2 linked regions of the Danio rerio genome follow. The protein of the gene in region 2 purifies or fractionates together with the protein of the main gene of each other region. This does not show direct contact. Links are inferred from orthologs where the notes say so. Each region holds a gene or a part of one and is shown on either strand. Other genes may lie near its edges. The genes, in order: bccip and eif6.

Region 1 (7,336 bases), on a different chromosome or scaffold from region 2:
ATAATAATAATAATAATGTGCGCTTGATTATTGACAAGCTTTGGAAACCCGATCCTGTGAGAAGCTGACAAACGAGAGAATGACACATTCAGAAAGAAAAGGACAAATGCGAGAGTGGAGCGCGGGAAAAAAGCAGCATGTTATTTCTTCAGCAAACGTGATCAAACTGCCTTGTTTTAATTATTATCATCACCTTTTGGACTAATATGAACTGGGAATGATGGAATGACTCTCTATCAGAGGCTTCATGTGCTGCTGAAGATTACAGACACAGATGAGAGGTTTTCGCTGACTGTAGGTTATACTTTGTGTTGTTTTGAACCTAATTAAGAACGAGATGTCTGATGTTTGTAGTTTTTCTGTAGTTGGTAACATATCGGAGACTGTAAGGGGCCATAAGATTGTATTTGTACGCAACTACCACAGTCGCAGACGAACTTTTGTGAACAGGGCAGCACTGGCCTGAGCATCTATCACATTACATTTAATTATATTGTGGGCACTTCAGTGTAACTGTGACGCACAAACCCATTTTCATGTTGCATGGATAAATTAAAAATAACCAAAAATACTTCGTAATAATTTTCAGGAGCTTTTTTGATTTTCACCCAGGCTAAAAAGAGAAAATATAAAAATGTCGTCTCTTTATTGATCATGCATTCATGTCAGATAAATGTGTGTGCACTTGAAATTCTGAGAAAAGCTCAGTGGTGTTCTCATATTTTTGCAGGTTTGTTCAGATGGCGCCGCAGTATTTCTTCTGCAATCTTCCTCCTAGTGAAAGTAAAGAGATCCTGCAGAATATTCTGGACCGTGACAGAACCGGTATCCCTAAAGCAAAAACTCGACCAGAACCAAAGACAGAGACGCAGGAGAGCGAAGCACAGGAGCGATGTGTTTTACAGTAAACTCAGCGGAGAAACAATCATGTAAATATTTTCAATTGAAGAGACACTCATCGTCAATCTGTTTGGGTTGTTTATTATTATTTTTGTGGGCTGATTATGTACAGAATGAATAAATTATTTCACTGGTTTGGGTGATTTGTGGTCAAACTGGCCTGGAAGGTTAAAGTGTGTTCAGACGGTCAGATAATCAGTCATTTTCTGCATGATGGTGTCCATTCTGTCCATGGGGATCACCATCACTGTGCGAAACGGCTTCATTGGCTCGTCATCGTACGACCATTTCCCTGTCGCACACGAGTCCGCCTCATCCTGAACACAGTAGCTGAACTTCACCGTTGCTTGCTGTGGGGAAGAAAAAGAAGAAATGTTTAGATGAGGGGTCTCAAACTCAAATTGGCAGGGGGCCATTCCACTGACTGAAAATTTTTAGAAGGGCCACTTTAACATTCAAGCACAACAAAACATAAGGGGAAACCTGGGGTTCGTTCTTCGTAGGTGGATTCCTCGGTTAGCTGGATTTGGATATTGACGATTTGACACGATCCAGGATCGTTTCATTCATCAAAACTGATCTGAGTTGTTGTCATAGCAACAGTTCTGCTGGCTCAATCCTGGTCGGAAGCAGGTTTAATTCATATAATCGGCTCAGTTCAAGCAAAGATAATACAGAATGTACCGAATTCTGATATTTTCTTACAGTAGAAGTTATTTACACTTGGGAAAATACTAAATTTTTTAAACCTATATAAAGTTATAGTTATTAATAAAATAAATAATATATTAATAAAACTTATGCAATCTGCACCCCCAAAATGAAAGTGCAAAGAGAAAACTTATTGATATGAACTTTTTAGATCACTTTAGTACAATTTGTGTATGATACAAAAACTTTGCATACGCCAGGTTTCACGTTCACATTTGGATTTACTAACCATGAAATGAATGCGAGTATGTGCGTTGGTCCATGCCGACTTCATGTCTGGCGTACGTTTTATTTCAATTGGCGACTCCTAGAGGCAATTATGTTAAATTGCACACTACAAAATTCCTTTGCGCCGCGCAATGCCAGCTGTATGGGACAGGATCATCCGCATGTCTAGCACGTATATAAGGTTTCCATACCATGCTGTCGACAAGTCAAACATTAAAGTGCAACTTGCAGCGATCGCTGGTTTTTTCAATGTAATCGGAGCGATCGACTGCATGCACGGTGCTATAAAGGCACCACTTGAAGATGAATTTGCAAATTTTGTATTTTTTGTAAATTGCTTGCTTTTACCATTGCTTTTTCGTTGGGTTTTGCCAAGGTAGAGTTATTACCATATTCATACAGGGGAAGAGGCAGGGAGGGGTTTTGCACTCATGCATGTTGTGCTCAGTTTCACGTTAAGTCAAATGTATAAAGAGAATATGTGTGGGATTCCGCGTACGCAGTGTTTCATACATCTGAATTTTTCACTGCGTACACACATTTACAGCTTTGTGCGTACGCAATGTTTTAGTATGAATTCAACGCAAGTCTTCGTACATGAGGCCCCTGATTATTAAGCTCTGATGACTTTGACAAACAGAGCGTAATATAAAGAGAATGTGTGGCGAGTTTATGCTGAATTCAATGACGTCGCACCTAGGCTCTCCCCCGTGCTGCTGTTTTGAAGGCTGTCAGATGTGTGTGTGTGTGTGTGTGTGCGGTGACAACTCTCACGCACGCTCGTTACAATCAGTATTAATAATCTGATCAAACTGAATACAGTCTTACATCCACAACACATGGCAAGCATTGCATTGATAATAACAAATAATCATATTAGGTTACAAACAGCCCGACAAGTTGTTGGTTAGCACGTGCGCAGGGGTTTGGTGTGTGTGTGTGTGTGTGTGTGTGTGTGTGTTGTTGAAGCGAAGAGGGAGACAGAAACGAGCGTTTTTTTTTTTTTTTCGCAATGAGACTGTTTTCAGTGATGATTGGCACAAGTTACATGTGTCCTCGTTCATTCACCGGCTGCAACTAAAGGAGAAGGGAGTTAAGTTACCCTGGAGTAATAAGTGAATCTCCCCTAATATCTCTAACACAACAAAGACACAGAGCAGGAAAGGCTTACATATGTAATATCTTTTCCTGAGGCGATTTAAAGCAAAATACACAATGACACTCAATCAAACACATCTACAATGATGAGGAACATGGTTACTTACTGGGTTATTAACACTCAGCAATGCCACATAAAGAAAGGACGGGCTTTAAAGGAATAAACAGTGTGAGGAGAGATCCATTAGAGTGCACTGGGCAAGTCTGAACATGTTCCGCCTACGCGTGCGCGGCAGCCAGGTCTGTACAATTACGTAATTTATCGGTTTAAAGATATCGGCCTAATTTAGATATCAGCTTAATAACAATAATCTTAAAACTAGCATTTATTTGCCGATAACGCTATGGTGACATATCATGCATCCCTAATATATACATCTCGTCTTCTTTCTTTTTGTGTCATCGGCTGATCACTTGACTGCGTGAAACCAATCGAGGATCAAAACATGATCTCTCTGGACAGAAATTTAAAACGTGGACCAATCGCTCACTTTTTTAAATTTCTAATTATTTTGTTTAATCCCGCCCCTTTCCGCATTGCCGTACAACAGAATTTCGCAAGCTCAAACTAGAGTGTGACTGCTGTTTTACCCTGTTCCTGGAGATCTAGGCGGTGTCCGAAACCGCATACTTCCATACTATACAATACGCTAAAATCAGTATGCGAGCCGAGTGGTATGTCCGAATGCAAAGAATCCGAAAATTAGTATGCAAGAAAGACCCGGATGACCTACTACTTCCGGCGAGATTCTGAAGTGAACATCCCATGCACGCCGCGCTATCACATGATGCCCTGCGAGAGAATTCATGAATGGGAGTGAAGCGACGCAACTGACGCAGGTAGGTCACGTGACCATGATAAAAAGGCGGATGTAGTACATCCGAATTCCATTCATACTTTTCACAATAATACAGTATATAACACAATTTATTAATGGCCGAGTAGTACATTTAAATTCAAATGCAGTACCTACTGAGGAGGAGGAGGAAGAGGTTTCAGAAGCAGCCTTACTGTCCTGCAGATTTCAGTTGCAACCCATATCAAACACACCTGCCTGTAATTATCAAGTGCTGTACAGGTCAATTAATTGGTTCAGGTGTGTTTGGTCAGAGTTGGAGCTGAACTCAGTAGGAAGGTAGATCTCCAGGAGCAAGCTTAAGCACCACTGCTCAAGGGTTTAAACATTGAATAATTTTCATTTTTGAGTGAACTAACCCTTTAACCACTTAACCTTTCAAGCCACTTTTCAGACTTAAAAACTGACATATGCATATTAAATATAAATAAGTTTAAACCAAAAAAACTATTCGTTTCTTTATTCAGTTTTTGTTTTAAAAAAAAGAAAAGAAAAATGAAAACCTGTAACCATTGATTTCCATGGAAATACAATCACGGTGGAAGTCAGTGGTTACAGCTTTTGTGTAAAGAAAGTAAAACAGGTTTGGAACAAGTGAAGGGTGAGTAAAGGATGACAGAAATTTCAGTTTGGTTTGACTTCAGACATTAGTAAAATGTACCTCATAAAAGAACTCCTCCTCGTCATTCACGAACAGCAGCTCGTCTTTAGCCTGGTCTCCTGCAGAAATGCTCTTCTTCTTCAATGGCTTGCATGTTTTGCTGATCATCAGACAGAACTGGCATTTACCGCTGGGTTTATTGGTCCTTTGAGCTTCAGCCATTTCCTTCCTGCAGAACCACACAGAAGACAGATGATGATGATTATTATGACAATATACTTAAAATAATTTCTTTATTAAATTAATGACACTGAATTAAATGAAAAAAAATAGTGAATGTGCTGTTCACTTTATGATTAAAGTGACCCCTAACCCTAACTATGACAAATGTACATCAAAATATTTCACTTATTTCATACTTATTTTTTTTTTTTAAAGCTTGGGTATTCAGGTAATGGTCATCCCATGAAAATTCATTTACATATTAGACACACATATCATTTACATATACTTGGGTGGTATCCAAATTTTAATACCGTTAAACCTGCTCTCTATTTTACCCCAGTATCCGGTATTATCGTGCATAATTTAAAAAATTATGACGTAAGGCTCAAACAACATAATCAGACTGTTGGTTTCTGCCTAAACCATTCAGAAACTGAATACCAAATATGCAACCTTAGGTTTGCGGTCACCTGTTTGTCTTGTTCGTATTAGAGATCTGCGCAGGATGCTCTATCCCATTCTCACACACACGCAGAGAGAGAGAGAGGGGAACGCACAGCACTGCGCTCTCACATACACGACTCGCCACCTCCCCTCTCTCTCTCCTCCACATTGTCTAGTGATGACAATCATGCATATGCATTTGTAGGCATTAAATAAATAATTGTAATATTTGATACTTGTCTCCTATTTAAGTGCATTGTTTTTTGTTTTTTTTTATGACGGTATAACACCCTATTCACACGGGGCTTCAGGGTCAACGCTTGGCTGAAGGCGTTTGTGAAGCTGGGGCTAAAGCGATCGTCATAGCAGCGTCAGCCAATGAAATTCAGTCAGCAATAGGTCAATGTTTTGCTGGTGTATTTGATTACAGCGATATGATTGGCTGACGCTTTCGTCGGCGCTTGAAAAGTTGAGCTAGTCCCAACTTCTGCAGCGAGCAGCACCTCGGAAGTGGCGCCGACAGATCCACAATGCAATTCGGCAACGCCTGACGTCACCCATTCAAAGTGATTAGGAAGCATTGACACTGACGCTCCGTGTGAATGGGGCGTAAAGGTATTGAAACTGACACCGTTGCGATTTTTAGATCCTGTGGTATACCATATTACGTAGTGTATGAGGGTGACAGGCCGGCCGGAATGTGTAAAAAAAAAAAAAAAAGTCGTTATCATATGGACTTGTTCCAAAGAGCCGACCCCGCAACCATACGGGACTAAGGCCAAAGAAGAAGATATACATATATATATACACTTTTGAAATCATAAAATATATCAAACTAAAATGAAATCTGCACTGATATGTGGTAATAGTGAAGCAGGTGTGTGCGCTCCCTCTATTGGGAACTCTTACTGCAGTTGTTTGTGCAGGGGCAGAGCGATCTGCGGCGGGACGTTGACGAATCTCTCGCTCAGCAGGAGCCCTACAGACTGAGTGTTACCCTGCAGGAGATTCTCCATCCGCTCCTGCACATCCGGAGTGCTGCACTTCACACACTGATCCAGTATCATGTCCTTCAGCTTCTCCAGACACTCCACACCCTGATAAACAAACAATAATAATCACACTTTAAGCCAAATGTCAAATTTTCCAAGATACTCACCAATTAAAAAACTGAATTTGCATGACCTTTTATATTCCACATGCTTTAATATGTTCAAATAACTTAATATTAACTTTGTTTTAGCTTGAATATCATTTTGCATGACTTTAACAGCCACTACACTGTGAAATGCGAAATACTCATGCAAAATATGATATTCTAAAAACTCCAGTGGGATTGTTGTAACTCAGATCAATCCTACAGAAAGTAGAGTGTGTGTGTGTGTGTGTGTTATGATTGTCTGACCTGTCTCTCGGTGAGGTTCACCATACTGATGAAGCCAAACACCTCGTCCGGGTCGCCCTCATCATCACTGTCCTCCGGTACTTCAGCTTGCTGGAGCAAAACACACACATAAACTATAATACAGCAATATCAGAGCAGAACTACAGATGTTCATTATTACTGTTAGTGAATATTATACAAATGAGTTTTAAATATATTAAACATTTACAGTAGAGCTGCACGGTATATTGCTCAACATCAATATTCAGTGTTGCCAGATTGGGCGGTTTTGAAAACTGCTATTTAGAAATAATTTATTAGTTTAGAATATGTGAAATGATTCTGTAGGGAAGTGAATTATCCATAAAAATGTCAAAAAATAAATTAAAAGTAAAAATAAAAGTGAAATAAACTGTTTTAGGGATTTCAGGGAGTGTTCAGGTTCATAATTTCAATAATCAAATGTTACAAATGCTAAATTTTCTTTGCCTGAATACTTTGAACACTGTCAGGCCCAGGGGCGGACTGGCCATCTGGCAATTCTGGCAAATGCCAGAAGGGCTGGACCAATTTTTAAATGTGGGTCGTTCAGTTTTTATTTAAATGTATTGTTTTTACGTGGAGGCAGCTTTTATCTCTTGCTAGATGTGATATTATGATGATGATGTTAATAATTATAATAATAATAAATGTTAAGCATTTGGACCAATTATGACGGCCGCCTGATTTCAAGATGGGCTGACCCAATCCGAGGTTACCCGGACGCAATCAAAATATGGCAAGAATGTCATTATTTCACCATCTGTACATCAAAATAAATAGTGAATG
Region 2 (11,790 bases):
GAGGCTTTCCAACACAACAACTTCAGCCCACGTTGAAACTTTTGATTTAAATATATATATATACACATAGTAATGGTGCAGAAGCATGTGAAGATGATTTACGGTCTTGTCAGTGATGACGCGTCAGCAACTTACCACTAAAGGCACCTGCAGGAGTGACGAGAGCTCGTCCTGATCTTCTATGGATGTTTTGGCGTGAACGAGGCCTCCCTGATTACTGAAAGCACAATAACTACCCACAAGCACCTGCTCTGCGACCGTCTGTCTGAACACCTCCACCTTCAGAGTGTCTGCTAGAATCTCTTCTGTCTCCTGCGGACAATCCAATACATTTCTGATAAATACACCAACTATGAAAAACTAAACAAAACCATCTGTGTTCATTTGCATCGATTAATTTGTCATTTATTGACAATGAAAAACAAAAAAGTGCTTTGTTTTTTGACCGATTAATATATAATAATTACACACTCACTTATTTTTCTTATGTGAAATGCTTATTTTAATTTAAATTAAAATCATTTATATAAACCAGTGCTGTCAATATTAGTGCGTTAACGCATGTAATTAATTTGAAATAATTAACACATTAAAACATTTTTTACACAATTAACGCAGTTTCAGTTTTTTTTCTGTTGTGGTGGACGTGTGTTCAACATGCAAAGAAATATAGATAAGACCAAGGAAGCACTTCTCGAAGTAAAGTTTAAAACAATTAATGTCGCATCACCAGGCTATCCAGCGTTTCCTCTAGAGTTTCATCTAATTTTGTATGTTTCATTGTTAATCTTTCAACTTTTGTTTCAATGGAATTTGATACCATATGCCGAACTGAAAGAAAAACCTCCGCACTTCGTGACTCTGTGGTCCTTTAAGGGAACCAAAAGTTGCTGTTTACATGGTGGACTCTTAATAAGAGTATTATCTTGATCATATTAAAATCAGAGTCTTGGTGTCCATGTAAATGTACTCTGTGAAACTCAGATGATGTCGCGAGCTGTCAAAGATGGCCCATTCTGTCGTGTTTCCCCCTTAAACGCAACCTTTGTAAAGCGTCTGCTTCACGTTGTTGTGTCAGAATTCTTGTAAAATACAGCCAAACTTAAGAATGCTTAGTTTAAGCAAATTTGATGAATGCGATCATGCATGTTGAATCTGAAGAGAGTCGATCCGGTTGTGCTGTCCTACGCGTGTTGTTTATGTGTGTGTGTGTGTGTGTGTGTGTGTGTGTGTGTGTGTGTGTTCTCAACTATCAGCAATACAACTTTTCAACGAGTACAATTGTTTGTTTGTATTAAATACTTTATCATTATTTTAATTTTCCATATCTGCAATGCCTGTATTTTGGCATTTTTTTATAGTCCACTTAGAATCCAACATGGAAATCAAGGTTTTCTTTATTGGTGTTGATTGTTTTGAATTTCAAATGGCATTAACATGCCTGTGTTTTAATTTCTGTAATAAATATGGCTGTCAAGCCAGGATCTTGATGTTTTATTGTGGGTTTTGTGGAAATATAAATTTATATCATCTAATTTCAAATTAACAATAATCTACGTATAACTAAAAAGTTATATTCTCTGGTTTTTAATTATATAATTTCATTAACATTCCAGTTAAGGACATTAACCTTTTGTCTTTCTGATTACAGGCTAAGCCAATGTAATGCAAATTGTCAGTTTCACAGCATGGGGTGTCTATTGTTTTCTCTTTTCGATCAAATGGTCAGGCGGTTTCTGTCTCCAGAACAAGATGAGATTAGGTCTGAAAAAGCAGTTTACCCTGCCGACCACAACTCTTAATTTGCATACTTTGTTTAGCTATATCCCCTCCTCCTAAGAACACAATATAGCCATGAAATCTTTGTCTTAATTCAGACTATTTTACAGACTTGTGAAAGAACTTGCAGACTGCGGTCCTCTAGTAGGCTCTTGCAGACACGGACATCTTAAAGACGCTGTATGACTGCAGATTAACCAACACGTCTCAATAAAGGAATTCTGCTTGTTTCGAGTCTCCTGGACTGGGTTCTCTTCTCTTTTTTCACTCATTCATTTATTTTTTTACAACAGTTTGTTGTTTACATGAAGAAATGTGGGTTACAAGTTAAACAAAAATTATAATAAACAATTATATTTTGAATTTAAGTCGTTTTTTATCTTGTGTTTACATTAATTTTACATTTGAATAGCCAAAATTACAAGTTTCAGTCTTTTAAATGTGATTTATTGCGTTTAATTGCAAAAAAGTTTGATTAATTAGTTAAGTTAAATTAGTTAAGTAACTTTTTCCTTGTTTAATCAAAATATGAAATAGGCCAAATTACAAATTTCTTGTTTTTTTTCCTGACTTTCAATGACTACAGCTGCATTTACACTGCAGATCTTGATGGTCAATTCAGTGCGGGCGCTGACTGACAGCTGATAATAAAAGAAGTTTTTTTTATGTCTCTTCGCAGGGTTTATTTATTTTTTTATTCTTTTTGACAAGTTGTTTTACTATAGTTTATGGCAGAATAGTTCTCATTTGTCCATCTTCATTTAATCTTGGTCTTTTTAAACCAGTAGGCATCCAACAGGCAATATAGGTGTAGTATAGCCTAGGGCCCCCGATTTTTGGAGGGCACCACAAGTGCTGCTTTTATGTTATATTTACTGTGAACGTAAGCGCAAGAATGAGCATTTAAAAATTCATTAATAATGCGCATTGCACAAACCCCATTAAACACGATACAATTCACTGTGAGGAAAAAAATAACCTCCACATTTCATTAAAAGAATAGCTCTGTATAATTCATACATGACAAATAAATGAAAATGATTGTAAATACACAACAACAGTAATAATATAAGCAGAAAATATTAGAAAAATATCAAGCAGCACCACACTATATAACACCGCCTGGGATCAGCTATTGGATGGACTAGAATGACGTAACGTATTCCTTCACAGATTCCACATATCTCTCCAAATTGCTCACGATCAATATAAAGCTGAAAAGTGTCTTAAAGTCTTACGTAATATACTGTCACAAGTGTTGTTGCTATTTTTAATAAGTCTTAATCAAATTTTCATTTGAAATAAAATGGCGTCTAAACAGAAGAAAGGGGAAAAAATCATGGGAAGAAATACTGTAAAAATTTCCCTGCTCTGTTAAACATAATTTAGGAAATGTTAAAAAAATAAACAAATCAAAGGGGTGGAATAATTCTGAATTCAACTGTGTGTTCTGCTATACACACTACATAATTTAGTAGTGCAGTATTAGGACGTGTTTTACAAATGCAACCAATCGGCCACATTCAGCATGTTTTATTAAATAATCAGTTAATTATCTGTCCCACTAATTCAGCCTGCTGAAAAAAACAGGGTTTCCCGTAATTTTGTCAAAATCGAATCTTATCCAGTCTCTAATACAAAGTTTTGTTTGTGTAAATCTCTGTATGAAAAGCTAAAACATCTCCAGCATTTCGAGTTATTTATGCATATATTTGTGTAATACATTTACAAAAAATGCATTTGATTCATGTTTTATTTGTATGTGTCATACTTATATACTCAATGCTAATAAATGAGTGTTTTCAGGCTTACAAACTTATTTATTTAAATCTGAGCAAATATTTTTGCTTATGTATTATAGGTTAAATGTTACAGTAATAAAAATCTATACACTTAAATATTGAAATTGTTTTTTGTTTTTTTTATCTCGCCTGGTGACCCTGAACCCTATGGGCCGGCACTGCCTGCAACTATCGACTTCCATAGTATTCATTTTTTCCTACTATGTAAGTCAATGGCTACAGGCTTTCAACATTCTTCAAAATATCTTCCTTTGTGTTCGACATAAGAAATACATTTTTATAGTCACTTGAGGGAGAGTAAATAGTGATCAATTTTCATTCCTGGCTGAACTATCCTTTTAAAGTTTGAAGATGTTCTTACTCTGTCAAGGTCTGGATGAACGAGAGCAACATAGTCGTTACAAGCGATGACGTTTCCCAGTGCAGAAAGACGCTCCTCTACTCTCTGGATGCGCACGGAGTCTGGCAGGCAGTTTCTGATGTGCTGTAACTCCTGATCTGTCGTGTTGTTGGGCACCAAGAGACCGTGACGGTTTCCTGCAGAAGAGCGTCATAGACCACACGACATCTATTATTGATCAAACAAGAGGTAACAAGACCTAATGTGACCAAGGTAGATATAGAAACAGTAAAGTTTCATCATTAACTACTGATTTCTTGTTATCATAACCATATTCAAAGAAATGCAATAGGGTTGTTTCTGAAATACAATATACTGATATGTAGGCCCACAGATTTCCAGCTAATCATTGAGTCTATTTGTTTACTTGTGTAAATGTGTGTACATTTAGATTTACTTATAAGTAATATTATTGATAAATATGAAAATGTTCATATGACTTATTTACAATACAGTAAGTAAAATCATACGTTCTGTCTTTTAGTGGATATATTATGAGAGACTTGCTTTGTTTACTAAATAAGTAGATCTATTTGAATATGCACTGTAAACATTAAATAAGTTTTTAAAAAGTATTATTTCTCTTTCATATATTAAGTTTTTAATTATGATACTCCCAAAATCACTCCGCATAAATACGCAGATTTTTTTTGTTGACCCCCCTCCCTAATTAACACTTGATCCCCATTGAAGGAAGTCAAAACATAACGTATGGGGAGGTCAGCCCTTTAATAGAAAGAAGTAGCTTTTTCAGATCTGTATCTTGAATAATAAAATTAACAAATAAAATAATGGCTAATATGCATATACATTTGACTGATTGAATGAATGGTGAGAACTATTATAGGGGAAAATTTTATTACATCTTATTGATAAATTAGGTGATGAATAAAGGGACTAAGCCGAAGGAAAATGAATGAATGAATGAAACTGGATTAAATAAATGTTCTTACCCACACACATTCTCCCAATGATTCGACATCCTGCTATAGAGGCATGAATGACGGGCATCGTTTCTGACAGTTCACCTTCAAAAACACTAAAAGCAAACAGGTATAATCACAATCACAATATTATTCAATCACTACAGTATATACAGTTGAGAATTATTCGCCCCCCTTTGAATTTTGTTTTCTTTTTTTAAATTTCCCAAATTGTTTAACAGAGCAAGGAATTTGTTAGTGTGTCTGATAATATTTTTTCTTCTGGAGAAAGTCTTATTTGTTTTATTTCAGCTAGAATAAAGCAGCTTTTAATTTTTTTAAAAAACATTTTAGGGTCAAAATTATGAGCCCCTTTAAGCATTTGTTTTTTTTCATAAGTCTACAAAACAAACCATCGTTATACAATAACTTGCCTAATTACCCTAAACTGCCTAGTTAACTTAATTAACCTAGTTAAGCCTTTAAATGTCACTTTAAGCTGTATAGAAGTGTCTTGAAATATATCTAGTCAAATATTATGTACTGTTATCATGGCAAAGATAGAATAAAAACAGTTATTAGAAATGAGTTATTAAAACTATTATGATTAGAAATGTGTTGCAAAAACCTCTCTGTTATACAGACATTGGTGTGAAAAATAAACAGAGGGGCACTAATAATTTTGACTTCAACTGTATAGATAGATAGATAGATAGATAGATAGATAGATAGATAGATAGATAGATAGATAGATAGATAGATAGATAGATTTTTTATAGAAATACAATTTAAGATTTACCTGTAAAAATTTTCTGAACCACCAATTGCTACCAAACAGTATGTGTTAGTAAGCTTGGCAAAGCATCCAATTTCATTATTCTTTTCAAATGATGCACGAACTGCCATTCTGCTGATCTGGAGGAAGCTGTCTGAATCTGGTGGAAAAACAATATTTTAGGGCTATATAGTTAAAAAAAAACTTTGAACACAGAAACACTTTATTACAACTAATAATAACGGTTATTTGATGAAAAGTGAAAGTTTGTTTAGGCTCAACAGAGATTAAGGTTAGGTTGTTTTTTTATGTTCACATATTCGGACGTTCTCCTTGATTATATAATTTCAGTTAAGTATTCTTTGCTAATTTTAAATAGTTAAATCACATTAGCAGCCAATAATTATCAAAGTACACCACTGTTCACCGTCAATTAAATAGTGCTAATGTTGTTTTAAAGACATATTTACATGTTGTTTCAGACTAAATATTCAAACTACCACGGTCAACAATATAATAAGCGTGTCAAAGGTTGTCACTTAATGAATGCGCGAATATAAAACCAACCTCACCTCAAGTCAACAGAGGGTAAACTTCACTAACATCTTATCGGGTAACGTTATAAATTGAGTGAGAGGAACATTTTTATGTAACTGAGTCAAACGTTTGACAACATTTTAAAATATGTCGTGTCTAGAGAAGCAAGACTAACCTAATTTTCAGCAAAACTTCAGAGTTTAACGCGTTTTAAGTAACTTTCACTGAATAGCCACTGGTCGAGGTGGTTAGCAGTCGGCTAAATGAAGTTACTTCAACTTCTCTAGACATTAAACGCCAACAATTCTCTACCCTCGAATGACGACGCGGGTAATAATACAAATTATGAGCTAAACGTCATTACACAATAAAATTAAACTTAATTGTAAGAGTAATTGTATATTTACCGAATGTCACTATGGAGAAGCGTGGACGAGCCGTTTACCACGTGTTTAGTTTACCTCACTTCCTCAACGTGGCAACGTCAAAGCGTTGTGGTACGTCATACGTGAGCCCCTGTTGTCACGGGAAACACTACTTTCTTTGTTTTGATTCTCAAGTATCACGTTAGAGCCTTGATCTTTAAATAATAAATGTTTGTATCCGTATTATAATTTTTTTTATTTGTAATAATTATAAAATATAATAAACCATCAAACGTGTTTTTTTATTATAATAGCAATGTTGCTGGGCGATACGGTGGCTCAGTGGTTAGCACTGTCGCCTCACAGCAAGAAGGTCGCTGGTTCGAGTCCCTGCTGGGTCAGTTGGCATTTCTGTGTGAAGTTTGCATTTTCTCGCCGTGTTGGCGTGGGTTTCCTCCAGATGTTCCCGTTTCTCCCACAGTCTAAAGACATGCGTTACAGGTGAATTGAATAACTTTAAAGTTTTAACTAACGTAAATTGGTCATAATGTACGAGTGTGAAATGTGAATGAATGTGTATAGGTGTTTCCCAGACCGGGGATGCATTTGGAAGGGCATCCGCTGTGTAAAACATATGCTGGATGAGTTGGCGGTTCATTCCACTGTGGCGACCCCTGATGACTAAAGAGACTAAACCGAAGGAAAATGAATGAATAAATAAAATATTAGTATACCATTATAAAATTGTATGATCTGATAGTATATTTCAACACAACACATTATTAAATTAATCTGCAAACAAAAAAATAAATAAATAGTAACTAATAAAACTAAATAAGTATTACGTCAGAATAATGTTTTGGGTTTTAAATGTTAAAGACAGAGTTCCTCGTTAATATATGATAAATATATAAATATTAACGTTACTCAAACCTTTTACTTAATAATTAATACCAAAATATCTTAAATGATTTAATATTCTAATCTTTGTTAAAAATGTTTTTGAATTTTATTATAACTAAATAATAATAATTAATAATACAATATATTAAATTATTAATTTACGCAGCAAACAAAAATAACATAAAGAAATGAATAAACCCGATTAGAGTAATTATTATTAATTACATGCATTTTTAAAATGATAGTGCTTTACAATAACTTTAATTACAGTGTAACCTAAGATGAAAAAATATACAATTATAATAATTACCCTACATAAACAAACAAAAATAAAGAATAAAACATATATTTACAATCCCTACAAATACTTAATCCCTTTAGTCACTTTTGCTGTACAATATTCTATTCCACAGCATAATACTTTTTAAAATTAAGTAATTAAACAAAAACACATATTATAATAATTATTATTATTATTATTATTTAAATTAGCACATTTATATATTTATAGACAGACGCTGACTCAGACTGGCCAGCCCTGTCACCGGGCAAAGTCTAGAAGGTATACAGCTGTGGATACTCACCTCAATATAGCATATAATATAGCATACAATAATTTTTGTCGACAATAACCAATATTTTGACATTGCTGTGAGGGTTGGGTTTAGGGTACACGTTAATAAAACACAATTTAATGGATAATTTAATAAATAATATAAATATTACTCGTTATAATTACTGTTTTACATTACTGTGAGGGTCGGGGTAGACGTTAATAAAACACGATTAATGGATAATTTAATTAATTATGTAAATAATTGTCGTTAATTTTCGGCTGCAGCTGTATCCCTTCTAGCAACAACTCGTGTTTTTGTCCCCAACCACAAACCTGCATAGCAACAAAACACGCCTCTCCTGTCAATGTGGATTTCTCAGCCAATCGGCATTGAAGTTCGGCGTGACGTCACGTTTGTTGACACTTCCAGAGCGTTAGCTAAAACGTCACTGCAGCAGCGCGCGCCCGTGACCCTCGCCGTCCACCCTGCGTTTTCTGCCTGGAAACATCGCGAACTAATCGGTGAAACGCTGGATTCCGGGGGCTGGAGCCGGTGTGCGGTAAAGTCCTGACGTGTCTCGGCTCGTTAACACACAATATTGATCTGTTTTTGTCCCAGTCACGCTGACAAACGCTCTCTAAGTGCTGCTGCTTCTGTAGGTTTTGTTCCGTCCTCAATGCATAGCTGTCTGCTGGAGGAAAGTGTGGCTGTTACCACAGATATAACGTTATCATATTAGAAATTCAATTAAAGGTTCAGGTAAAGTTGGTTTCATATTACATATTTGGACATTTACTTTAATATAATTTCAGAAAAGTTACGTTATACTAAAGGGGGAAATAATATTAGCAGCCATTGAGTGTCAAAGTACAACATTGTTCACAATTAATTAAATAGAGTAATGTTGTTTTGAAGTCTTTTAACATTCTGCATCACTATTTTATTAAACACCAAAGTCTTAATATGCGAATATAAAACCGAGTTTACCTCAGTAAACGAAATAAATATCCACAGATTTTATCCAGCAAATATTTTTTAACAAAAAAAAAAAAAGATGGTGTTGATAAAGTTTACTTTTTGCAATAAATACAAGGAGGCTGCTTTACATTTATTTTAGTATTGTACATACACCACTACATTATGGTGTGAGGCTCAACAATGTATTAACGATAGTATTCTATTCACTGTTCAAAACTTTTATCCTTATGGGAAAATGTACTTTTTGGTTTTGGTTTGGGGGTTTGGTATTTTTAGATAATACACCAAGGTTAAATTGTCATTAATTCAAATAAATTGTTATTTAATTATTGAATTAAAATGCATAGCTAATTATAAAAATGTAAATAAAAAGTGTAAAATAAATACTTAAAGCTGGTCAAAATAACAAAAAGGACTGTATATTTTAGACCTGTTATTCATTTTTGAGCAACACATTACTAATTGTTTAACTTCGGAAAGTTAAGAAGTCAATAGAAGTCAATCAGAAGAAAAGAAAATCTATTTTGCTCAATTATTTTTTGTTCTAAATTACAATATAATTATTAGAAAATTGGAGAAAATCTTGCCAGACATAATAAAACAAACATTTTACTCAAAGGCAAAGCTATAACAAGTAAATCTGGTAAAATTAAGCATTTTAAAGTGGTATCTAATTTTTTAAGCTAAATTTAATCTGTTGTGTTTTATTTAAGAAATGGCCTCGAATCATAGCACCAATATGGCTGCTCTTGACCAGAGACAGAGGGATACAGGAAATCTGCCAAGCCAAGGTGAAGTATCTTCATCCAGTGTCCAAACTGAACCCGGTACTACTGATCCCCAGGACCGACTGGATCCTCACCCTGACCTGCCCCAATGCCAAATGGGCACCAGAAAGGTAGACGACATGCGCTTCATGATATCCTGCACTAACTGGTACTGAAGATGTTGCAGAAGAGAAAAGACATTTGGACAATTTCCCTTCGAGTGAGTGCCAAATTTAGTGCGGGACGCTGGCGAAGTGGAGATGTTGCAGTTTCAATGCTGCTTAAATGGGTTTGGTGTTGTTTATGCATTTAAAGCAATAGTTTTGCCATAATTTACTCACTCTCAAGCCATCCTCTACATTTATAAATTTAGCAAAAAATCATCAGACAGTTGTTGTATATAAATGCTACGACAAGTCTTACAAAGTCTATGAGTAAATTGTTTTTTCTTTTTTCCACAGTGTATATGACTTTCTTCTGTCAGACAAACTGTGTCAGAGTAGTTGTAAATGTTATCCTGGCTCTTCCATGCTGTATAATGGTGTTGGATAGCTTTCAAAGGTGCATAAATCCATTGTAAAACTATCCCATATGTTGTTATTGGGTTAATACATGTTTTATGAAGCAGATCAATTTGTTTTTGTAAGAAAAACATTTCAATTGCATTTTGCTCTACGCCACTGATTATCATATGTATATATTAGTACGGTGTAATGTCTCGGCTGTGTATTTAAAAATGTTGCTTCCTTTGTTTTCATTTTCCTGGCTTGTTGCATGCTTGTGACATTTCTGTGTAAACCAATAGCATTCAGCTGCACGTCTTGCTCTATCATTTGGTACACTTTTGTTGTGCTAGGTACCCTTTGGAAAAAGCACCCAAAAAGTGATATGGTACGGTTCGCTTTTTGGTACCTTTTGACAGTAGAAATGGCCATAAAATCATACCAAATCGTAATAACGTAACACTCAGTGGAAATTGGCTAATAGATAAAGCCTTAGGCTACATTCACACTGCAAGGCTTAGTGCTCAAATCTGTCTTTTTCTCACATCAGATTTTTTTTGCATAGCTGTTCACACTGTTGTTATAAATGTGGCCAATATCAGATTTACAGGGTGAACAGATTATGGTCTTCAATTGACCTGTATGCACAAAAGTACAATTACGGACAGCACAAATTTTGCACACAATACATGGTTTTTGCATACACACAAAATTTATCCCGCCATGGCTACATTACTGCATCTCATTCAAAACATTCAGTCATTGTTGTTGTTTTTTTAATAGCAAGTTATAATCGCACCAAAACGTATTTAAAGGTAAGGAATTATAACTGCGCAAACTTTTCTGTAATCGTAGTAGTTCGGTGCGTCATTTTTAACCCTTTAAGGTGACATGAGGTGCTGCTGACTGACAGGTGCGTGATGCAAGCAAACACGACGTAGTTTTCAGTTAAGATGAACACAGTTTCCATAATTATACTTTATTTATAGATATAGGTCTGTGACTCTGCATACAATGACTTTATCTTGCTGGAGTTTATTGCCGTTTCACTTTACTATAGGATGCATTAATGCCACTCTGTAGGTCTATTGGAGACATTTATAAATATTCCCACCAAATCTAATAAATGTTGGAGACATACTTGTTACATAAATGCACTAAATCACACTTCAGCAGCGTTTATTTGAGAGCGCACAAGAAGATCTGCGCTTGAGCAGCGTATATTTGAGGGGGTGTGCAAGACGTTTTGTGCATGAGCAGAAGAAATCAGCGCGCAAGCCAAGAGATTCGCATTCTCGCATTACATGAAAGCGATCTCAACTGGTAATACTGAGCTCACAACATTTGTCATTGAAATAAAGCTATAAGGTAGTTGGTAGATCTGTGTAAGGCCTGCCGCCACAGCTGAAAAAATCCTAGAGGAAACACTGCAACATGGATATTGTATGTTGTGAGTAAAAACGCTGTCAGATTAGGTTTAATATGATTACTGCCATTTTCA

The links.
Region 1: the proteins of eif6 (region 2) and bccip purify together in Homo sapiens (affinity purification with mass spectrometry; 3 studies listed by BioGRID and IntAct, counting the BioPlex papers as one, with this or other methods). This does not show direct contact. The link is inferred for Danio rerio from reciprocal best matches to the Homo sapiens genes EIF6 and BCCIP.

What each region holds. Positions count from the first base shown.
Region 1 is NC_133187.1:47,443,440-47,450,775, forward strand, and holds the end of bccip (protein BCCIP homolog), read right to left. Parts: intron 6,620-7,336; coding exon 6,530-6,619; intron 6,222-6,529; coding exon 6,034-6,221; exon of another isoform or gene 5,785-6,033; intron 5,672-5,784; exon of another isoform or gene 4,685-5,671; coding exon 4,516-4,684; intron 1,251-4,515; coding exon 1,080-1,250; 3' UTR 961-1,079; downstream 1-960. UniProt on the Homo sapiens protein: During interphase, required for microtubule organizing and anchoring activities. During mitosis, required for the organization and stabilization of the spindle pole.
Region 2 is NC_133181.1:55,070,731-55,082,520, forward strand, and holds the start of eif6 (eukaryotic translation initiation factor 6), read right to left. Parts: upstream 6,676-11,790; 5' UTR 6,252-6,675; intron 5,840-6,251; 5' UTR 5,811-5,839; coding exon 5,704-5,810; intron 5,021-5,703; coding exon 4,935-5,020; intron 4,119-4,934; coding exon 3,943-4,118; intron 313-3,942; coding exon 136-312; intron 1-135. UniProt on the Homo sapiens protein: Binds to the 60S ribosomal subunit and prevents its association with the 40S ribosomal subunit to form the 80S initiation complex in the cytoplasm. Behaves as a stimulatory translation initiation factor downstream insulin/growth factors.